Linked DNA regions of Canis lupus familiaris. The protein of the gene in region 1 binds, or shares a complex with, the protein of each later gene. Links are inferred from orthologs where the notes say so. Each region holds a gene or a part of one and is shown on either strand. Other genes may lie near its edges. The genes, in order: SPINDOC and SPIN1.

What was found.
Region 2: the proteins of SPINDOC (region 1) and SPIN1 are in contact, whole or in part, in a crystal structure (PDB 7CNA), measured with the Homo sapiens proteins. The link is inferred for Canis lupus familiaris from reciprocal best matches to the Homo sapiens genes SPINDOC and SPIN1. Residues at the interface, in NP_612480.1 of Homo sapiens: Phe256, Ala258, Pro259, Ala260, Val262, His264, Phe265, Thr266, Asp267, Ser269, Phe270, Pro271, Gly273, Phe274, Val275, Leu276, Gln277, Leu278, Phe279, Ser280; in NP_006708.2 of Homo sapiens: Met154, Thr169, Tyr170, Glu171, Pro174, Pro206, Val209, Val210, Leu213, Lys216, Gln217, Val218, Glu219, Tyr220, Thr229, Val232, Val242, Tyr243, Ile245, Phe247, Asp249, Asp250, Tyr254, Val255, Tyr256, Asp257, Leu258, Val259, Lys260, Thr261.

The regions. Positions count from the first base shown.
Region 1 is NC_049239.1:53,686,566-53,698,554, forward strand, and holds the start of SPINDOC (spindlin interactor and repressor of chromatin-binding protein), read right to left. Parts: upstream 7,615-11,989; 5' UTR 7,569-7,614; coding exon 7,442-7,568; intron 7,134-7,441; exon of another isoform or gene 6,986-7,133; coding exon of another isoform or gene 6,985-6,985; intron 3,974-6,984; coding exon 3,644-3,973; intron 3,555-3,643; coding exon 3,405-3,554; intron 3,275-3,404; coding exon 3,137-3,274; intron 2,977-3,136; coding exon 2,779-2,976; intron 2,475-2,778; coding exon of another isoform or gene 2,467-2,474; exon of another isoform or gene 1,211-2,466; intron 1,049-1,210; coding exon of another isoform or gene 1,017-1,048; exon of another isoform or gene 1,007-1,016; coding exon of another isoform or gene 996-1,006; exon of another isoform or gene 1-995. UniProt on the Homo sapiens protein: Chromatin protein that stabilizes SPIN1 and enhances its association with histone H3 trimethylated at both 'Lys-4' and 'Lys-9' (H3K4me3K9me3).
Region 2 is NC_049222.1:98,072,707-98,084,180, reverse strand, and holds part of SPIN1 (spindlin-1), read left to right. Parts: exon of another isoform or gene 1-663; intron 664-1,458; exon of another isoform or gene 1,459-1,708; intron 1,709-2,596; coding exon 2,597-2,850; intron 2,851-7,336; coding exon 7,337-7,570; intron 7,571-10,808; coding exon 10,809-11,008; 3' UTR 11,009-11,474. UniProt on the Homo sapiens protein: Chromatin reader that specifically recognizes and binds histone H3 both trimethylated at 'Lys-4' and 'Lys-9' (H3K4me3K9me3) and is involved in piRNA-mediated retrotransposon silencing during spermatogenesis.

The DNA.
Region 1 (11,989 bases):
ACCTTTTCCTTGGTCCAGCCTGGAAACATACTGGACCTGGCCGAGGTATCTTAAAAGCCAGGTCTCTAGATCTTACTCAAATCAAATACTAGCAAGACAAAGAGGCTTTTCCTTACAATTTGTGAGTGGGGTCCTCAAGGCTTCCCTTCTCTCTGGCTTGGACACTTCCCCTCCCTCTTCCTGCAAAGCCCTTTGGAAAGCTCCAGAAAGTCTCCTCTGCTTCACACTGTGATCCATCAGCTCAGCTGACCTCACCGTAGTGACCTCACCAATTTCTAAATCCTTGACTTTTAAACCTTTTTAAACTGATAGAATTAGAATCTTTACTCAAAATCTTTTAAGAACTTCAATACAAAAAGCAACTCAACATGAAGATATTCTGGTTGAAGCCTCACAGGGTTTTGAGAAATCTGCCCAAGCTTTGGGATCCCCAAACAGTCTGTGGCCACCGCTCTGGAAGCCTTTGCTCCGCACAGAACTACAGTGGCTGCGTCACTCCTCCAACCTGTACCTTCAAACAGACAGTAAATTTCTTGGGGACAGAGAAACTCTGTCCTCACTCATGTTATTTTCCATAGTGCTCCCCTGAGGGCCCAGCCTGGCTACAGGCAGGAACACTTACACAGCGTCCACTGTGTGTTCCCGCCACCTCCAACCTCCCTAGATTCTGCCACCTGCTGAGAAAAACCCTCTCATGTCAATTATATTCATGTATCCCAAGGCCTCAGACTTTGCCCACGTACCCCAAAGGAATGTGAGGTCTCAGGGACTCCCTTCTCAGCTACTCACCACTCCAGACAGGTGAATTGGGGCACAGGGTATCCCAGGTTTCAAAATGAAGGCTCCCTTTCGAGAATGAAACCAGAAGACCCATTAAACAGTGGAAGCAGTGAGCCATTTAAAGCAGTGATCCACCGAAGAGAACGAGGAAGCTCAGGGAACGCTCAAGTCCAAGCAGAGCACACAGTCTCGGGGAGGCAGGACTGGAATGTGGCTCAAGCTGAAACTTGAGACAGTTAAGACCGTGATCTACGTGAAGAGCTGACGCCTGCCTCAAGATGAGAAAAAACAGAGCCTATCTTGGTAAAATAGAATTCAGTGAAAAGTGCGTGTACACACATACAGGCACACGCTGAGCTTCGTGAGAGGTCTCAAGACACAAAACCAACTATTAACAGTGCTCACCACTGTTGAGTGAGGTGGGGTGGGCAAGAGAAGGGGCATATTTGCTTTTTCTTCCTTTCTTTTTTTTTTTTTTTTGCTTTTTCTTTGTACAAAAAGTCCACCTCCTTTTTGAGACCCCTGCTCTGGGGAGCCCCTGGTACCTCCCGTGCTAGCTTTCCCTGGGCTCTAACTCCGAATGCACTATTTCAGGCAGGCCACGACAAAGTGCTCTGTGTGTCACCTGGTCACTCCTTCAAGAGCCATTTCCTGGGCAGCACGGGTGGCTCAGCGGTTTAGCGCCGCCTTCAGCCCAGGGCCTGATCCTGGAGACCCAGGATCGGGATTGAGTCCCACATCGGGACTGCATGGAGCCTGCTTCTCCCTCTGCCTCTCTCTCTCTGTGTCTCTCATGAATAAATAAAATCTTAAAAAAAAAAAAAAAAAGCCATTTCCTGAGCCCGAGGCGCCTGGCATGGAGAGATGAAGAGGAATGAGGCTCAGCCTCTGCCCTCCCAAGGCATGTTCTGGTCTAATCTGAATCCAGCCACTGCCTGGCTATATGACTGTGTTGCTCAAAGATATCCCACTCCCTAATCCCCAGGATCTCTGACTATGCTATCTTACGTGGCAAGGGAGAACTGAGGCAGTAGATGGAATTAATGTTGCTAACCAGCTGACTTCAAAATAGATTGTCCTGGATGATCTGGGTGGGCTCCACAGGATGACAGGGGTCCCAGGGGGGGGAAGAGGGAGGCAGACAAGTCAGAACAAAGACGACATCCTCAGAAAGACTCTACTGGCCACTGCTGGCTTTGAAGACGGAAGGAGACCATAGCCAAGGAATGCTCGCTTCTAAGAAGCTGGGCAGGACAAGAAAATGGATTACCCCCCAGCGACCCCCTGCTGGAGCCTCTGGAAAAGAATAGGACCCTGCCGATTTTAGATGGATGAAACCCATTCTAGACCTCTGACTTCCAGAACTGAAAAGTAATAAAGTGTATTCTTGTAAGCCACTAAGATTTGTGGTAGTTTGTCATAGAAGCCACAGGAAACGAATACAAGGATCAAGGGAGGGAAGAACCAGCTGAGACTCCACCTTCCCATGCGGAAAACAGACTTTTCTAAGGGCCAGATGAACTACATAGAAAAGTTTCTTGAAATTGGTTGAACATGATACAAACGCAAGCACTTCATGCTATCATTCAAAAGTCACTGAGCTGCTCTCTACGGAGGTGCCTGCCGAGTTGACCAGGGGTCTGTTCTGTTCCAGTCCCACTCGGGCCCTGGCTCCACCAGGGCGAGCTAGGCACCTCGGGTTCCAGGAGGAATCAGCCATAAGTGTGCTGATGGGTGTCAGGCTCTGGGGAGTACTGGCTTAGCCCAACCTAACAACCAACTCCAGGACACTCCCCAGGAGCTAACAGAGCGGCTCAGCTTGCTGGCCAGTCCCCACCATTCTGGTCTGCCCGCCCTCGGCCCCGCGTCTCAGGGGCCCTGAGCAGTAACCACCTGTATCCCAGGCTCTGCTGCAGAGCAGCCTTGAGGAGGCCAGACCCCAGGGATGTAGCCTGGCTCTCTCCGACCCACCCTTGTCGTCCCCTCCCAGGAGCTCACCTGGAGAGGGGCTTTCTGGCTGGGGAAGGCCTCCTGCAGCAACCCCTTCTCTGGGTGAGTCCTTGCTGTCTGAGGCCCTGAGCTGTGTGTGAGAGAAGAGCTGGAGGACGAAGCCCGGGGGGAAGCTGCCGTCGGTGAAGTGACGGACCTCAGCAGGAGCAGCAAAAGTCTCCGTGGGTGAGTCAGGTGATGGGGGGTCTGGAAGGAAGGACAGGATAGAACAGAGTCTGTAAGGCTGTGCTGCCTATGGCCACTGAAGCCAGAGTCCAGAGGCCTGGACGGCCCCCCTGCCCTGGCGTGACTTTCCTCTTGGAGCACTGCGCCTGGAGCCCACGCCCGTCATGGGCCTCTCCCTCACCTGGGTCAGGGTCTGGGTCCAGGTCCAAGTTTTTGGTCATGGGTCTGCCTCTTTTCTTTCTGACCGGTTCTTCTCCAGGGGGCTCCTTCCATCTCTGACCACGGGGCTTCCTATTTCCTGCCTCTGAGGCAGGGGCAGCTACAGAATGAGAAGACCTTGTACCTTTGAAAGGGGCCACGCCTGGGCCCTGTAGCCTCTCGTCACACAGAACACAGAATGCGCACTCCCCTCTCCCCAGCTCAGCCGCAAGGGCTTCCCAAAAACTGACCAGGAAGCTCGAGGGGGCGGAGTCCCCTGGGCCGGCTCCTTTTCGGGAGAGATGGGTTGTCCTCAGAGTCGAGGAGAACAACGATCTCTGCTGGCATTTTGGCAGGGTCTGGGTCAGAGTCCGGGTCAGCTTCGACATCCTGGCCTGAGTCTGAAGAAGGCAAACACCCAGTGAGTTCCAAGTGCTCTGTGAGTCCGACTTTTCCCTTCATCCTCCACCCGACCCTCACTTCCAACTACCTGAGGTGGGCGAGGAAGGCTGCTCAGCTCTGATGTCTTGCAAAAGGGCCACTCCCTCACTCCAGGCCTCCAGGATGTTGCTTTTCTCTGAAGGGCTCAGGTCCAGGGTGTGAGGATGCTGCTCCAGGATATGCATGCGCGCCGTGTCGGCAGAGGGGGACCGGATTTCGGACCCACACACCATGCACAGTGCCCGCCCGCTGCCTCCGGGGCTGTTTCCCACAAGGAACTCCTGCTCCCAAGACACCTGCTGCTTGGGCTCCTCACAGCCATCGCTGCCTGCCTCCAGCAGGTTGGGCCTAGGCGGTGGGGTCTTCTCCTGCTGGGCCACTACAGAGGGAGACGTGCAGGAGGATGTTACCAGTAGAGGTACCCATGGCCTAGAATACTTACATGATTCCCCAAACTTGGTGGAGGGCTGGAGGGCGGAGGGAGGCACATTCTTACCCCAAGTCTCTCTCTCTCCTCTCCCCTGCAGCCCGCGAGGCACTAACCATACTAAACGCAACCTGTGTGCATCGGCATCCCACTATCTGTGTATCTGCTTTTTTTTTTTTTTTAAAGATTTTATTTATTTATTCATGAAAGAGAGACAGAGAGAGGCAGAGACACAGGCAGAGGGAGAAGCAGGCTCCATGCAGGGAGCCCGACGTGGGACTCAATCCCGGGACTCCAGGGTCATGTCCCAGGACAAAGGCAGGCGCCAAACCACTGAGCCACCCAGGGATCCCCTGTATATCTCCTTTCAATCTGGCTCCAGACCACAGGGTTTCCAACAGGCTGTGTTCTTGCAGGTCTTCAGCTTTGGCACATTCATCTAGACCATTCTGATTGGTCTGACAAATTCCTACACTTCCTTTATGGCCTTGCTCACATTGTCACTCCTGGGAAGCCTTTGGGACCTCCCACCCTGACGGTTGATTATATCCACCTCTGACTTCCAGGCCATGCTGCATACTTTCTTGAGAACATCTGATTGTCTCACTGCCCCCACAGGGCCTGCCACCTAGGAGATGCTCCGGGAGCCTGCAGTCAGCAAAGAACAGGCATGCCTGTTTCTCCACCTGGCAAGGACCCTTCAGAAGGCTGCCACACCCCATCACAATCCCTCTCCCACCTCCCAGAGCATTTGCAGGGGTGATCTCATTCCCAAGGGTCTGCCTGGCATCTGTTCCCTGTGCACATGGGCCACAAGCTCTGGCAGGGCAGGAATTCTTTCCGGTTCAACAAAGGCAGCCTTGGACCCCCATTAGCCTGGCAGCTCCATGCTTCTGCAGCAGAGTCCCCTTGCTCTTTTGTAACCGCATCTCCTTCCCATCTGAGAAGATGGGATGAAGTAAAATATGAGGGGCCCTGACGTCTGGGAACCGTATGGATAAGTGGCATATGAAACGGGTCTGAGAAGTGGCCAGGACTCGGAAGATTCAGGTCCGAGGCTGGGCTGTTCCTATGTCCCATGTGACCATGCACAGTAACCTTGACCTCTTGACTGCCATTGGGCTTTCTTTCCCACCACTGCTCGGAAACAACTCCCGTCAAGGTCACCAAAGCTAAACCTGGCTGTCAGTTCTTAAATTTCATCATTTGGCTCGTCACTTCTTCCATCTAGGTTTTTGTTACTTGGCTTCCAGGCACTGCCTCCTGTTGATTCATTCCTTTCTTCCCTGGGGCTCTCTTGCAGTTGCTGGTACTGGGTCCTCCTCACCTCTTTTCAGGTGCCTGTGCAGCTCTCTCATCTCTTTCAAGGAATAGCCTGAAGAACTATCTTTTTACCACAGCCCTCTTGCCTCCTGCAGAAAGCTGGACACCCGATTCCCCTTTACCCCTCATGTCCTGCTCCTCAGCCCACACCACCATCAGACCTAACGTGTGTTTTACTTGTGCACCATGCCTCCCCACTGCCCAGTGAGCTCCAGGACAGCAAGACTTTGGATCGTTCACACCTGGACCTCCAGCATCAAAAACAATGCCTGGCATGCAGTGGCATTCAGAAATCTTTGATGAGGGACTGACTCAATCTCCAACCTGCAGTCACTGGAGAGAGCTCCACAGTTCAGTTTTTTAGACCTCTCCTATCTAACTCCTTCCTCTGACAGGTGTTGTCCCGTTGCCTGGCGGCTGACAACTCCCGTATCTATACCACCAGCCGCTCTCCAGTGGCACTGAAATGCATGTGTCTGATGCCTATCTGGCCTTACAGCTTGGATGTGTCACAGGCATCTCAAACTCGCCCCATTCAAATCTTAACTCTCTGTCTTCATACGCTTGCATCCTAGTCGCCTGGTCTTGGGATGCGGGAGGCCTGTCCTTCTGGGTGCTCAGGTCAAAAGCCTTGAATTCATCCTTTTCTCCTCTAAACTCTTTCAAAAAGCTTCTGCTTCAGGACACTTACACTTGCTATTCTCTCTGCCTAAGATGCTTTCCCTCCAATCATCCACAAAGGTTCGTTCTCTCCCATCCTGGGAGTCTGGGCTCAAAATTCACATTGGAAAAGAAGCCTTTCTGACTACTTGATATTCCAAATAAAACGCCTCCCAATCCATTTTCTCCTCCCTTTGCTCTGGTGTTCTCTGAACCACTTATCGGCACCTGACACCCTATGCACTGAATTACGTTTGTCTTTGGTCATTCATTTATACGTATATGTAGATGAGACGTTACATCTTTGTTCATAACCATTTGCATGTCCAGCCTAAAACTGCCTCGTTTATAATAGGTGCTACTAATAAAAACCTGTTGAATGAATTAACTTCTCCGGACTTCTGTTTCCCCACCGTAACAGTGGGGAATAGGGCCTCCCTTAAAGGGTTGTTGAAACAATTAATTCACGCAGCCTAGCATCCAGCACTCAGTAAATACTAGCACAAATACGGAAAAGAACCTCTGCTAGATCTAAAGCTCTGACAAGGGCAGCAGCTTTCATTTCCTCGACTTGTTTTAAAACCCTGCAGATTCCAAAAAGGCTGAGAGGCAGTGCACGGAGATAGCGTGTTCCGCGGGGATTAAATAAATGGCCTTACTCTCTCTTTTGGGTACAATCCCCTTTATGGGAAGAGGTATCTTAAAATAAACACACGTTCGCATTTCTACGAAAAAGATTTTTTTTGGCATTTTCGCCAGTATTAAGTTTTCCGTTTAGACGGCCCTTTGTTTTCTAATGGTCTGCAAGATCCTGCGGACTAAAGAAATTGGTAAAGGGGGAGGGGAAAGCAAGTGTTCCCAGACCGTTCCTGCTATCCCCTCCTGAGGCCAAGCCCCTTCCTGCGTGGCAGAGGGTACCCCTGGCAAGCGCTGTATCCCATTCACCCCCGAAGCGCTAGAATCTGACACCTGTGGCTTACTCAAGTGTTAGGCAGGAGATGCAAAGAGGGGTTGGGGGACAGGAAGGCTTTCCGTGCGGAGGGCCCTGAAAATCCTCCCCTCGGCGGGCGGCATCCTCCAGCTCCCTCCGGACAGCAGGCCGCCGCGCCCAGCCTCGGGCCTGGAGGCCTCGCTGCCCCTCGGCCTGGACCGCAGCCCGGCCCCCGCCTCCGCGGGGCGGGAGGCCGCGGCCGCCGGTGCGGGGCCCGGGCGAGGGGGCGCTCGGGCACCGGAAGATCCGGAGTGCGCGGGGCGTGGATCGAAGGCTCCAGACCCCGGACGGGGGCGGGGGAGGGGGAATTCGGGGAGGCCCCAGATTCCAGACCCCGGAGGGGGCGGAGCCAGAGCGGGGGAGGGGGCGCCCGGGTCCCAGGCCGGAGGGGGAGGGGGCGCGCGGGCCGCGCCGTGACGCGGAAGTGGGGTCCCCTCCAGCCTCACCTCTGAGCATCGGCTCGGGCCGTGGAATCACGGCCACCACCACGGCCTCTTCCTCGTCCTCCCCTTCCTCGCATTTGAGCGTCACCTCGAAGCAGTCGAGCGCGGCGCCCTCGGCCTTCAGGGCCATGATGCGGCCGAGGCGGGGGGCGGGGGGGGACGCGGTGACCGGACGCGGGAGGCCGGGCGCGCCGCCAGGGGCCCCCTCCCCGCCGCCCGCCGCCCGCCGCTCACCGCCCGGCCTGCGAGGGCGCGACCGGGCCTCCCCGAGACCGAGCGCGTCGGGACCCCGGGCGGGGAGGGCTCAATCCGGGGCCCCAGGCCCCCGCCGCTCCCTTTTATGGAGGCTCATTGTCGGCGCCCGCCCGGCCGGCCCGCCGCGGGCCCGCCCCCGACCCCGCGCGGCCAATCGCACGTGGCCCCGCCCCGGGCACGCGGCTCCGTTACCTCCCCGGGACCCGCAGGGCGGCGGGGGCGGCGGGGCGCTGCCGGCCGGGAGAGGCCCGAGACCCCGCGCTGGGGGCCCCTCCCCGGGCTGCCCCCCGGCCCCCGGCCCCCGGCCCCCGGCCCCCGGCCCCTGGGCGCGCGTCGAGAGCGCTCGCGGGGCCCCGGGGGCGCTGCGGTCGCTGGTGCCTTCCCCGAACGAGCCTGCCCCCGCCGGGAGATGCCCAGGCGGGAAAAGCAGCGGCGGGGCGGTGAGCAGGGCCGCGGCCCGGGCGGGGGACGGGACCCCGATGGCTCGCGGGCGCCGTGACCTTGGGCTCGCCCTCTGTTTTCTTAGACGACCTCATCCTTTCTCCGAAAACGCCGCGGAGCCTCCCGGACGAGGGGGGCGACGGTGGAAGAGCCAAGTGGAGGGTGGGCGCGCGCACCGCGCCGGAGGGTTTGGATTGCCTTTTTTTTGTTTGTTTTGTTTTTTTGTTTTTTAACGTGAGTCTAGAAATGTGGAGCCTCCTCAAGGTCACACGAATCCCTGAGAGCCCTGAGACCAGGGTCCAGTGGCCGTGACACGCGGCTGCATCATAATCCCGCTCGGTGCAACCTGGGTGAGCTCTTCTCTCTGTGACGTAGAATGGGCATCTCTGCTGTAGAAACTCTCCTGAGATTTGGGTGGGGAAAATGTCTGACGCTGGAAATCCGTCTTAAAATGCCACCGCGTCCGACCAGACTCAGTAGGAATTCAGAATAACGTGTGGAGTAGGTTGGAGGTTGGAGGGCAGATACGAACCGGTATTATCAGGACGACCATAGGTCTTTAAGGGAAGAATTTTGTTACTTTCAAGAGTATCCAGGACTTTAAAGATTTTTCAAATAAAGGTGTTAACCAAGCTGGTTTAAGTCATTTCTACCTCATGATCACCTAGTAACTTTTGCAGGGATCCCTTCGTTGACCTGCTCCCCTCTGCATTGCCCTGCGCGGGGCCGATCCCCAGGCTCCCAGGACTGGGGCCTTCAGGTCTGGGTTAGGCCATTGGGAGCCAGTGGCAGGAGACTGGAAAATCGAAGGGAGGATAAAGCCAGTGTGTTTCTTCTCTTTCTGTCGCTTGCTCAGGTTTGGGCAGGTCTCCAGCTGTAGATAAAGCTCCTCTGTGGCTCTAGCTCTTACTGGATAGGCTGCCATGGTTCCAACTTTTGGAGGAGGATCTTCACTTCCAGGCTACATTAATTCCATCTCCTCCATTTGTTCCTCCAGTTTAGAAGTGATGGGAGTGTCCTGTCATTGCTAATCTCTGGGTTACCTCTCTATCCCCTGTTGGACTACTCAGCCCTGTCACTGGTGTCACCAATTCCCTGCATTAAATTCTTTGTTTTACCTACTTAGAGTAATTCCTATTGCCCCCATTGGACTCCGAGTAATACACTCAATACTATACTAAGGCACTTTGTCCTCACAAGCCTTTCTTCCTTTTTTTTTTTTTTTTTTCCAAGATTTTATTTATTCATGAGAGACACAGGCAGGAACATGGACAGAAGGAGAAGCAGGCTCCCTCCGGGAAGCCTGATGTGGGACCGATCTCAGGACTCTGGGATCATGACCTGAGCCAAAGGTAGACACTCAACCACTGAGCCACCCTGGTGCCTCTGTCCTCATAAGTCTTATGTAGTAGACTGTATTGTTCCCATTTAACAGAGTAGGAAGTTGAAGCTTAAAGGGTAAATTACTTGCCCAAGGGAAAAAAGCAAGAATCCTTTTTCATCAAATCTAAAATGAGTGTTTTCTCTACATTTTAACATCCTTAGTATGGGCATGCTTTCTATAATGGACATCACTGTGAAGTTTTAGGAATATCAAGACAAAAAAAAAAAAAAGGAATATCAAGACAGTTTAAGATCGCTCTTTTTTTTTTTAAGATCGCTCTTTTGATATTCATATGGTGATGTTACCAGCAGAAATAAATCATGCTCAGAATGCGACATAGGCAAGGCCACTTGGTGACCACAAAGATGACTCTAAGCGATTGCTGCTCCTTTACCATAGATCACTCCAGCTCTGCTTGCATCCTCCTGTATCCTAGATGAACGTTTTAAAGATACCTAGTTTCTAAGTTGTCCCTGCTTTTTGACAGCGTTCAATCCAGAACTGGTCCCTCACTTCCTTAATCCCTCCACAGAACCTTGGAGTGCAAGCCTGAATTTAGAGACTCACGTGAGGGCTTCCCTAGGGTACCTTTACCTTTATAGCAACAAGTTAAATAAACCTAACTTTCTTTTACAGCAGCTGTGTTCCTGGTGGTCTTTGGTCAGAGGGTTTTGACAATGTTAGCCAATTTATTTTGCATACATTTTCATTTTTGTGTATATGAAGAGTGATATACACGAATAGACATTTTTTCAAAGAAGACATTCAGATGGCCATCCAAAACATGAAAAGACACTCAACATCACTCATCATTAGGGAAATACAAATCAAAACCATGATGAAATAGCACCTCACACCTCTCAGAATGGCTAAAATTAACAACATAGGAAACAACAGATGTTGGTGAGGATTTGGTAAAAGGGGAACCCTTTTGCACTATTGGTAGGAATATAAAATGGTGCAGCCACTCTGGAAAACAGTATGGAAACCTTAAAAAAAAAAAAAAAAAAAAAGAACTGCTCTCAATCCCGGAATTGCACTACTAGATATTTACCTGAAGGATATAAAAATACTGATTTGAAGGGGGCATATGCACCCTAATGTTTATAGCATTATAAACAATAGCCAAATTATGGAAAGAGCCCAAATGTCTGTTGACTGATGAAGAAGTTGTGTATACACACACACACACACACACACACACACACTGGAATACTACTCAGCCATCAAAAAGAATGAAATCTTGCTATTTGCAACAACGTGGATGGAGCTAGAGGGTATTATACCAAACAAAATAAATCAGTCAAAGACAAATACCGTATTTCACTCATATGTGGAATTTAATTTGTTTTTTTTTTGTGTGTGTGTGTATATGTGGAATTTAAGAAACAAAACAGATGAACATAGGGAAGGGAGAAACAAAGAGAGAGAAGCAAACCATAAAAGACTCTTAACAATAGAGAACAACCTGAGAGTTGTTGGAGGGAAGTGGGGTGGAGGGACTAAATGGGTGAAGGGCATTAAGAGAGCACTTGTGATGAGCACTGGGTGTTGTATGTAAGTGGTGAATCACTAAATTCTACCGTGAAATCAATATTCCACTATATGCTAACTAGAATTTAATAAAATTTTGAAAAAAAATTTAACAAATTAAAAATGCGATCTTTGAACTGGAGAAAAAATGATATAATAAAAGTCTATGGGCAGCCCTGGTGGCTCAGTGGTTTAGCGCCGCCTTCAGCCCAGGGCAGGATCCTGGAGATCCAGGATCGAGTTTCGGGTCGGGCTCCCTGCATGGAGCCTGCTTCTCCCTCTGCCTGTGTCTCTGCCTCTCTCTCTCTCTCTCTCTTTCTCTGTTCTCTCATGAATAAATAAATAAAATATTTTTTTTTAAAAAAAGCCAAATTCTGACAGTTTCTTATCTCTTCACGTTATATTTTATAGTTAAGTTAAAGTTCTCTTCCAGACTTGGTGACATTTTGACATAGACTTTTATTTTTTTTTTTAAGATTTTATTTATTCATGAGAGACACAGAGAGAGAGAGAGAAAGAGAGAGAGGCAGAGACACAGGCAGAGGGAGAAGCAGGCTCCTCGCAGGGAGCCCGACATGGGACTCAACCCAGGGACCCCAGGATCACGCCCTGGGCTGAAGGCGGCGCTAAACCGCTGAGCCACCCGGGCTGCCCAGGGAACGTATTTCCTAGACAAGTACATCTGTAACTCATCTTTTGACTTTGTGAATTTAGCTTTGGAGTATGAGATTCCGAAAACAGGAAGGACAGCCTGGAGATGAGAGAGATGGGAATGGATTGCCTGTTCCAGCAAACAGCTGCTCGGGGCCACTCTCCGTAATGTCCCCTGGGCTGGAGGCCCACGTTGGGATGAAGCATTTCCTCTTGGTACAGCTTTTACTACTGGTGGCATTCTAGGGCCCCAATGATGACACGCGGACAGAGAGTGAAAAGCTGCA
Region 2 (11,474 bases), on another chromosome or scaffold:
TCACAGGAACAGAGGATGATCCCTTACGTGCCTCTGAATCTAGAATAGAAATCTGCTGGCTGTAGTTTCTTTTTGTAAGCCGACAGAACCAGTGGAGATTGTGTGTGTGTGTGTGTGTGTGTGTGTGTGTGTGTGTACAGGTACACATGCACACAAGGACAGAGATTATTGCCCAGGGAAGACCTGGTGTTGCCACTCCAGTCTGGGGGGAAATTGCGTCTCCCTGTGAGACCACATTTTCTTATGACCTTCAACTGACTAGATGAGGCCCACCTACATTGCTGATGTACATGTCCTTCTAGAAGAGTGCCTTCACAGAAAAACTTACAGTAATGGTTGAGCACATACCCAAGTACTGTGGCCCAGCCACCTTGACAGAGTTAGCTAAACCATGACATTGGTGCAGATGCTGTATTGCCCTCATTTTGATAGCGACTGCAGAGTGTTGATGTGGATCACTGAAATGCTGCGTGGGACTGCATTCCTTCCTCACTGGGGTTTGGGAGCAAGCCTCTGCCTTTGTGTGCAGAAAGCCTGACCCTGTATACAGTGCATCACTGGGATCTCTGCCTAAATGTCACAAGAAGTAGGTGATGGACTGATGGAGAAGAAATGCCATGCTAGCAGGATTGCTCCCCGTCCACCCCACATGGGGCCCATCAGGTACAGCGGCATGCTCCCAGGGGTTGTGAAGAGGCCTGAAGTTGACAGTTTTGGGGGTTGACCTCCGCCTGGGGTTGGCCTCTGTGGTGCTCCTGTGACTTCTCAGGAGGTGCTGGTGAGGACGGTCTTCCTGGGCCTCAGTGGTCAGTGGAGAGCCTTCGGCTCATGTTTCTGTCCTGAGAATCTGACCCCTGTCACTCTGTTGTCTGGTGGCCCCAGTGTCACTGTCAACGTTCCCAGTTTGTTTGCTTATACATGCTGTGGTCCCTTTGCCCAGATGCCCACAAGATGCTCTGTTCCTTGAGGTCCATTTGTCTTACTAGAATGTCAGTGTCTGTGGTTCGGGCCCACTTTCCCAGGGTGGCCTTCACAGATTTGGGGCATTTCTCTAGAGTTATATGGTGTCGTCCTGTTGTTTGGAAGCTGGAACTGGTGTCTGTCACTGTCTCTCTGTTACTGTCCTCTGTCCTCTCTCCCAGGTGTGCCCCCCAGTGTCTGTTGGACGCTTCAGTCCTCCTTTCTGGGCTCTGTTGTATGTCTGATGGTTGCAGATACCTTTGGGGGTATGCTTCCCTTGGGGTCCTACTCCTCGATGGCTGTCCTTGCTGTCGAGCTCAGAGCCCCTGTGTCTCTGTGAGGTCTCTGTGACGTGTCCCCGTTGTCTCTTTGTCTCTCATGGTGCTGTTCTGCTGGAGAGGACGGCAAGCCCCACCTTCCTGGGAGGCAGGTTTGCTGGGTGCTTGCCGAGCTTTCTTGGGGTCGGGGGCAGACCTATGATTGCTGCTGTCCTCACAGCCCTGCACGGAACCTCGGAACCTCAGGACCCCTTCTCCAGCCCAGCGTGAGACGGTTTTCTCCTAGGCCGGCGCCTCTGGCTGAGGTGAAGCCTGCAGCAGCTGACGCGGTCTCCTCAGGCAGCCGTGCTCTGCTGGCACCTGTTCCGTCTCACAGAACTCTGGGCTTGCCAGACTCTTCTACTGGAAATACATACCTCTGTAGCTTTAAATGTTACAGCCTCCAATAAATGGTTTTCCTTTTCAACGTTTGTGTGTGTGCCAGTCGTTCATCATTTGCGCTCGTGCTGCCGCAGCAAGAGCTTTCTGTCTACTGAAGGTTCTTGTTGCAGCGTGGGCAGGGCTGGGCCGTCCTTTATGTGCGGAGAGCTAGGTAGAACCAGGATCCCAGGACCCACATGTACTGCTTGTAAACACCATGCGGAGAGTTTTCAGTTTTAGTCTGGGAAGAATATGTTGCTCTAACACTTTTTAACGTTACATTAAGTATTTGTCCCAAATCTCAGTGTGTAAGATTGCATGTTTTCTGGAGATGTCCTGATGGTACCGTGTGGGGGTCTGACGGTGCGAGATGCCAGCCAGCCTGGACTGCTGGCCAGGGAGAAGGGACAAACTCAATGTCTAGTGTCTTTTCACTGCTTCAGGTGGTGGAGGCTCGAGATGTGGCCACCACTGTGGGTGACACTGAACGTTTGCACATTTCGTGTGACAAGGAACAGGTTCATGCTCTGTAAAGCCATGTGTATGTTTACATAATTCACATGGTCAGCCCTTCTCTTCCTCTGATTAACTGGGATTGTTGTGAATTGATTGCATTAAAGGGGACTCGGAATGCTGACAACAGGATGCTCATGCTCAGTACGAGGGCTGATGGGCAGTGTGCCCTGCTGCCTGTCCACAGTGGGTACATGGGGAGCCCTGTGGCTGCCATGCCATGTGCACATGGGGTGCACATGTGCACATGGCACCCCATGGGGGTGGGGGGCTCACCTGTAGGCACCTGGACCGGGAACATGGCACCGTTAGCCAGCGCAGGCCTGGGATTACCTGGAGGAGAGCATGCTAGCTAGCGGTAGCATTGGATCGAGGGGTGCATACTTCTGAGATGATCCCTTACGTGTGTATATGTGTGAATGCAGAAAACATCGGAGCAGTGTGGGGCCGAGCAAACCTGTTTCCCAGCCCCGGCGGAACATCGTAGGCTGCAGGATTCAGCATGGGTGGAAGGAGGGGAATGGCCCTGTCACCCAGTGGAAAGGAACCGTTCTGGACCAGGTGCCTGTAAATCCTTCTTTGTATCTTATAAAATACGATGGATTTGACTGTGTTTATGGACTAGAACTTAATAAAGATGAAAGAGTTTCTGCGCTCGAAGTCCTCCCTGATAGAGTTGGTAAGTTCTCTTTACTATTTGTGCGTTGTATGCTTTAAAAATGATTATCGAAATGGATGCTTTTTGATGATTCTTTTGCATTATTGGTGTTTTTATTTTTACTGGAGTGCAGGCACTCCCGGTACACAGTTAAGTCACTGAAAGCACAGTCCAGGGAACTGTTAGGGATGTAAAGATGTATCAGGTTATTGGTGAAGAAATTGACAATCTGATCATTTCTAACATGGTTATTTCCTACATTTTGCTCACTGTTCATGTGGACTCTGATGGGTAAGAATATTTTATTAGCTCAACTATGCTGTGTACTTGTTTCATCAGACTGTGGTAGCTTATGCCTTTATTAGAAGCCTTATGTGAAGTGTAGTTTTCATCGTGTAATGTCAGTGGCATTGCATTTGCAGCCACACCTGAGGCAGCCACCCCCTGTTTGCATTGACTGTGGGAGGGAGTCTTTAAATGTCCCCCTGATGTGTTCCTCAAGACACAAGGTGTCCGTTAAATAATAATGACTGATTTTATCCTTAGGAATGAAGTAAAATGTTATTGTTAAGATCATCTGCATTAACCTTACTTTCTTCAGAGTGTTCACTTTGAAATGTTTCCTTATTACAGTGATGCTACTCGTGTACGAGCATATATCTGTTTATGCTTTTGGAATGGTCTTTAGAAGCTTCCGTGTTAACAAACCCCATCCCAGCAGAGGTGGACCTGGAGGGGCCAGGTTGTCAAGAGATGGCGCTCCTCAGTCCCCTGTCCCCTTTGTTCTTGCCCCTGTGTTCTTAGGACACACACTTCCCTCACCAAGTTAATTCTTTGCCAGGTCAGCAGGTTTCTTGTTGGTGTTCCCTGAGGATAGCAGTGCTGTGTATTTGTCTTTGTCAGGACAGCTCAGTTCTCACAGAGATCTTGCTTTCCATCTTTCTTATCCGTTTATTCAAGGTACCTCACTGAGCGGTGTTGCATCTTCGGCACCTGTCATATCTTCACCTGTTCCTGAGCGCCCCCCACCCCCCCGTAGGATGCCATGGTTTCTTCTTGATCCCCATGTGCACCCATTTCCAATGTAGGACACAAACATCAAAGAGTCTTACCTTCAGGTGTTGAAAATGTCCAAACCTTTATATCCATTGTCTGTGCTGGGTAGTGATCACATATTCTTGTGACCCAGAAGTTTAGTCTCCCTCCTTCCTGGGGCGAGGCTGCCAGCCCACGTGAGATTACCTGCATTCTGCTGCGTGGCCTGTGCCAGATCTCCTGAGTTCTTCTGCCATTGTAGGACAGAGGAAGTCCTTTTATGTTGGTAAAAACATGGTTTGAGCAAACCAAAATAGCCCCAAATCTCTAAGTATTTATGGTGATGGACTCAGAGTGCCTCCTGTTTTTTTGGCAGTTCCCAGCAGGAGGCAGGGTTGCTTTTCTAGAGTCTTACCAAGGAAATACAAAGGCTGCTATGCAAGCCAGGGTATCGCGTGCTGACTTGAATTGCTAGTTAATGTCGGTATTCCCTGTGGACCTCAGTCTGGAAAGCTGTGTAGCGGTCACTCTCATTCCACTGGGAAGGAGGCAGTGTTCATGGTCTGCATCACTCAGCAAACACAGCATCTTCTCTATGGGACCAGATCATGTGCTGGTAAAGGATCCATTGGACGATCAACAGGTTGGTTTTGTGGTGGTGAGAAAACATGTGACCTGCAGTTCGCTACCTTGATTATTCTTAAGTGTCCATAATTAAGCGAGTGTTTAGTTGTGTCCACACAGTCATGGAGCAGGTCTCCAGAAAGTCTTCATCCTGTTGGCCTGTAGCTCTGTCCCTCTTTACCACCCCCCCCTTCTCCGTGGTGTTGATCACCTGAAATGCCTCCTAAATGGGATTGTAGAGTATTTGTGTTTTTGTGACCTCACTGCGCCCTTGCAGTTGCAGCACCCCCTTCTCTCTAGGGCTGCACCATGCCTCCGTGCTCACGTGCACCCCTTCTGTGCCTCCCGCCCTCTGTGGGGCTGCGGGGGGTGATGCTGCTGTGGAGGTGGTGGGCCCCTGCTTTCCTGTCCCTCGAGGACAGTGCCCCAGGTGGAATTGCTGGGGTGTCCCTGTGCTGTTCTTCACAACGCTCGTAGCATCTTGGGTTCCCAGCTGCAGGCACAGGCTCTGGTTTCTCTCCTGTCCTCCCCAACCCTTGGCGTGCCCTGTTGGGTGTTTTTTTTTTTTTTCGTTTGTGTTTTATTTTTTTAAGATTTTATTTATTCATGAGACACAGAGAGGCAGAGACATAGGCAGAGGGAGAAGCAGGCTCCATGCCGGGAGCCCAATGCAAGACTCGATCCCAGGACTCTGGGATCATGACCTGAGCCGAAGGCAGACATTCAACTGCTGAACCCCCCAGGCGTCCCTCTCTGTCATTTTTTTTTTTTTTAAAGATTTTTTTATTTATTCATTCATGAGAGAGAGAGATAGAGAGGCAGAGACACAGGCAGAGGGAGAAGCAGGCATCATACAGAGAGCCTGATGTGGGACTCGATCCAGGGTCTCCAGGATCATGCCCTGGGCTGCAGGCGGCGCCAAACCGCTGCGCCACCGGGGCTGCCCCCTCTCTGTCAGTTTTGATGTGAGTCTCCCTGACATTTAGTGATGTTGAGCATCTTCTCACATGCTTTTCGGCCACTTGTCTGTCATCTCTGCAGAATCTATTCGGATCCTTGCCCATTTTCCATCAGATTATTTTTTTTTGCTGCTGAGTTGTAGAAGTTCTTTATCTCTTCTGGAGACATTTTTATTGTGACTGTGACAGGTTTGCTGATAACAATTCCAGATTCTGCACCACACTTAACCATGAAGGAGCTACCACATGTTGATTGTCAAGTAGCATCATAGGGGAGCATCTGGTTTCCTGAAAAGCCCCTTTTCAGCAGCAGGGCTTTGTGAGGTTGGATTTTGTGTGTCCACTGGAAGAGCATGTGACTGATTACTGGAGCATATAGGACAACCTGGCTGCCCTGTAGAGCTGGGTATCAGGAGGTGTACAGAGATGTGAAGCTACACACTTCCTACTACATTTTTATAAGAAGATATAGTTATTTTTTGTTAGAAATGAATTCTGTAGATTTGTCATTTATAATTTCCAACAGCTGATTCTGATAGCTATCCATATGCTAAAGTGCATTTTTAATATTTATTTATTTATTTATTTATTCATTCATTCATTCATTCATTTATTTATTTATTTTTGCTAAAATGCAGTTTTAGATCCTCAGAAATATTTTAAGAATATAGGAGTCTGGAGATCGAACTTTGAGAACTTCTGGCCCAAAGAGTGTAGTAGGCTTTGTTTTAGTGTGCGGTGGGGAATTTTGTGTAATTTTGGAGAATTCCTGCATGTGTAAGTGGAGAGAACCACCATATGTGCTTGGAGTGTCCTTCTAATAAAATTAGGTAACAGTATCTTGAGCAAGAAATTACAATCTGTTCCTTTGAATTTTAACAGAAATAGAAGCGATTATGAATGAAATAGAAGTGCTAATTTGTTTTTAATGACAGTTGTCTAAAATGTGAGGACAAGAGAAATCTTTGCATCATTAGGATCCTTCATGATTTTCCCACTATTAATAAAAGGAAGGTTGTGATTGTCCGCCTGCCTCTTCACACAGAGCAGGCCTGAGAATTAGTTTGTACGGTAGTTGTTGACGCCCTGGGGTCTCAGTGTGGGAATGCAGACGCTGTCTGAGCCAGGAACAGGATCACTGCAGGTGATGCCAGGTGTCATTAGGGAATAAGTAAAGTGGAGGACACGACAGGTGGCTGGTGTGGGGCTGATCTCACCTTGTGGTCCTGGAGACAGAGGAGCCTGGTGGGAAGGAGAGAGAGGCCCATGGGGGCAGAGGGACAGGCCAAGAAGGGAGGCTGCCAGGCCCAGGGAAATGGTTTGATTTTCACATGACCAGGTGGAAGCACTGGGGCATTTTAAGCCAAAGCGCTGGCTGCCGTGACTGATGCCAGGCGCAGTCTGGTCACCATGCATATGAGAGTCCCCTCTCTGGCCTGGCATGGGTGAAATTTCTTAGCTTGCATCCCCTGGCTTGTGTTACCCAGGTGTTAATAAAGGGAAGTGGGGTGACGGTGTATGTGACCGCTCCTGCTCTGCAGTTAGAGTGAGGCTGTGATTACTCAGTATATAAAGTAACCATTAACACTAAACACTTTATACCTCGAATAAAACCATTGGAAGTTCCAGGTAGAATCAGTGTAGGGCAGAGGAGTGCAGGAGAAGAACCAGGAGCTGCCTGGGGACAGAACCAGGAGGTGCCATGGGAGCCCGTGCTCTGGGCCCCCAGCAGTACTGTGGGCCTGGCCCCTGCTGCCTCCTGCTGGCCCTTGTGCCACTACTGTGGTGCGTGGACCACGTCTCAGGCTGTCCCTCTGCCGGAGCTCAGTCTCCACAGTACGGATCTTGTAAAACCCCCATGTGAACCGTTGTTTGCTTCTTGTCCACAGCGACTTCTCGAATCAGTGATGCACACCTGGCCGACACGATGATCGGCAAGGCGGTAGAGCACATGTTTGAGACGGAGGATGGCTCCAAGGACGAGTGGAGGGGGATGGTCCTAGCGCGCGCCCCTATCATGAACACGTGGTTCTACATCACCTACGAGAAGGATCCCGTCTTGTACATGTACCAGCTCCTAGATGATTATAAAGAAGGCGACCTTCGCATTATGCCCGATTCTAGTAAGTGTACATTGGCAATCTTTGTTTCTGATAATTCCAAAGGAACTTGAATTTTAGAATGAGATATTTGATGATCTATTTTTGTACATGTATCTTATTTTATTTTGATTTTTATTTTAATTTGAGGGTTAAATTATTCTTCTAGTCATGCACCAAGCATAGGTTGTGAAGTTTTGCATTTTTGCCTCAAGTCCTGTGCTTTCTATTTGGGTGTCCTATCCTGGGTGTGGACTTGTCCGTGGGTGGAGTGTGTCATGTAGACTCCTCGTGAGTGACTTCCTTATTAGCTCAGCATTTTCAGGGCTCATCCGTGTTGTGGCAAGTGTCTGTGCTTCATTTCTTTTAATGGCCAAGTACAATTGCACTGTATGCACGTTTATTCACCCATCCACTGATGGGCACGTGTGTTGTAGACCACCTCTTGGTGATGATGAAGGATGTTGCTGTAAACCTTTGTGTGCAGGTTTCTCAGTGGACGTTTGTTTTCAGTTCGCCTGAGTGCTTGCTGAGGACTGGGACCGTTGGGTGTGTGGTCACTGCTGAATCTTTGGGGAACCGCCAGACTGGTTTTCGAGACCGCTGTACCCTTCTCCATGCACGTCAACTGTGTCTGAGGGCTCTGACACAAACACTTCGTGTTACCTGACTTTTGGCTCTAACTGTCCTGGTTGCGAAACACTACCTCACCATGGGCTTGGTTTACATTTCCCTGACCGCTACAGACACCAGGCGGCCTTCTGTGTGTTACTGGCCGTTTCTATGTCTTTTTTGGAGAAGCCTATTGGTGCTGTCTGCCTGTTTCTCGTCACCGCCATTCTGTTGCTGTGTTTATCAAGTCTGGGTCTTGGTGCGGATCTCCTGACGTGTAGGATTTGCAGACACTTTCTCATATTCGGTGGGTTTCTTTTCACGGTCTTGGTGGTGTTCAAAGCACAGAAGTTTTTCATTGTGACGAAGGCCACTTTAGTTTTCCTTTTGTACCTTGTGCTTTTGGTGTTGTGTCTGACAGTCTTTGCCAAGGCCAAGGTCAAGGTCATGATGACCTACCTCTTTCTTTTCTTTTACGGGTCTTGTAGGCATTGCTCTTACATTTAGATCTTTGAAATGTTTTGCATTAATTTTCATGATGTGCTGGAGGGTCCACCTTCATTCTGCGTGTTGTCTGAGCACCATGTTGTGGAAAGACTTGTTTCCCTGCTGGTGGTGGAAAGAAGCTGGTTGTGGATGGACAGCTGTGTTCCTGGGCTTTGGGTGCTGCTCTGTGTGCCTGTGCCTCGGGGGACATGTGCCACACTCGGTTACCCGGCTCTGGGGTAAGTTACGATGTTGGGCAGTGCTGAATCCTATGTTCTCTCTCAGGATTGTTTGGATTTTTCTGAGTTCCTTGCGATTTCATGAATTTTGGAATCAGTTTGTCAGTTTCTGCAAAGAAGTCAGCTGGGACTCAGAGGGGGATTGAATCTGATTATCTTGACAATATGAAGCCTTCTAACCCGGGAGCACAGGAATACTCTCCGCTTTGCTGAGATTTACAGATGTCTATCAACAGTGTCTTGACGTTCTCAGAGTAGCAGTTTTGTACTTCTTTGTTAGGTTTTATTCCTGAATTTTGTGCTCTTTTTGATACTGTTATGAATGAAATTATTCTCTTAATTTCATTTTTGGGTGGTAAGCCTGTTCTTTTTTAAACTGCTCCATAGCCTTGCCTCCAGCACTGGGCTCCCAGGCCTGGATGGGGTGACAGCATGTCTGTTCTCGTTGGGTTCTTCCTCCAGCACTTGTGCTCATCTGGCCCTGACTTTCTACCTTCTTTGTCTTAGGGTTTGTCATAAGTCTGTAATGGAAAATATTTATATGGGCAGGAATTTAATTATCAGGAGAGTGTTCCTTAAGAGCACTTCTCCAGCCTATATGAAGTTGGGTTTTTAACTTTTTTGTAGAAAAGGACCCACAGTAAGGACTGCTGCCTCACTGCTGGAAAGCGTGGGCCTTTGCATTGTGTGTGGTGTCCCCCAGACCCCCTTGCCCTTTCAGTCTTTTCCTCCCATCCCAAACACTGCTTCAGCAAGTGTTTGGCCCACAGTGATGATGCTCCGGTGTGAGTGCTGTGCAGGGGCCTCTGTGCGGGGGGCTTCGGCGAGAGGCCCTGACATCCTGCTGGGGTTGCTGAGGTGGCGGCCGTCCCAGCTCCTAAAGCTCTGTAAGCTCCCAAAGCTCTGTAAACTGGAGGTGTTCCTAAAGTGAGGTGGGCTTGGCGCCACTGCCTGGCAAGGGAACAGTGTGTGGTTTGGCCCTGTGGCTTGGCCAGGCTTCCTTGCTCAGAGACCCGCTGAAACAAGGCTGGGCGTGGGCTGGTCGAGGTGGCAGGCTCAGGGCTGCGAGACTGAGGGTGCTCCATGTGGTGTGAGCAAGGCGCCTGGGGTGGGAGGCCGGTGCTGCTCCTGGCTGAAGAGTTCGCCGCACCTGCCCTGCTGCTCCCAGCTTCGCCATGGGAGCCGGTGGTCGCTTGTTGCTGTGCTCCGAGCCGTTCTCGCCCAGGGTGGCGTGGCGTGGCTTTGCCAGGGTCACCCAACAGGCCCCGGGCAGAGGGGACCTCTGTCATCTTGGGGGACCCGGGGGACCCGTTGTGATTGGTCTGGGCCGGAGGGTGGCGCTGGGCACCTGTGTTCAGAGCGCGGGAACTCATATCAGAGCACGGGAACTCTTACTCAGAAGCTGAGCTGGGGGAGACTGTGTGGTGGGGTGACCTGGGAAAGCCCAGGAGGGTGTGTCTTCTCAGCGTCCCAGGGGGCGCTATTACCAGTGGCAGGTCCTGTGGGGCTCGGCTTTTCCCTGGTCTTGCCCTGCTGAGCCCTCACCTCTCATTCTCAGCTGTTACTACACAGGAGCCATGGGAATTTCTGCTTATGATTTTCAAAATCCTTTACCCACCCTGGTCCTGGGGGGCGGCACACTGTTTTAATAAATAAAGTTTTACAGGCATACAGCCACACCTTTCATTTAGGCACCCCCGCGACTGCTCCCCTGTGACTGGCAGAGCTGAGTAGTCTGTGCAGACACCGTACAGCCTCAAGCCTCACATATTTACCATCTGGCCCTTGAAGAAAACATTGCCGACTCTTGCCCTAGATAATCAGGGATGTGAAGTTTTTAAAAAATTATTATGAAAATAGACATGTGAATTGGTACATACCTAAAATTTGACTTTAAATTCTTTTCTTTCCCCTCTTTAACACAGATGATTCTCCTCCAGCAGAAAGGGAACCAGGAGAAGTTGTGGACAGCCTGGTAGGCAAACAAGTGGAATATGCCAAAGAGGACGGCTCTAAAAGGACTGGCATGGTCATTCATCAAGTGGAGGCCAAACCGTCTGTCTATTTCATCAAGTTTGATGACGATTTCCATATTTATGTCTACGATTTGGTGAAAACATCCTAGATGTCATCATGAACTTTGCCAAATTTGTGGAACTATTAAATGTATAATTTGTAGACATAAAGACTTGATTGCTTTCCAGTTTAATGAAAGCTTAAATGTCCCTGCGAACCCACAATCTCTGCCAGCAGAACTGGTTTTGTTCTGAATAGTACAGATTTATGTGAACACAAAGCATTTTGTGTAAGGAACTCCTTCCTCTTAAAAGAAGTCTGTGTGTCTGGAGGGGAGTTAAGGCAAGTTTGGTGCAAGTTAAGCTAGCATTGCGGTCGTATAGAACTGTACTGGATCGTCCCCAGCTCCCCGTCACCATAGCTCTCCTTCTCTGCTGCCACACTGCAAGCGTAGTTTGGTACTGTCGGTACTGCCTTCTTTTTTGAGACGTGTATGTATCTCTATCTACCTGTCCAGCTCTGTGTGTGTCCATATGCACTACGCGCGCACGCACACACACACACACACTCTTCCT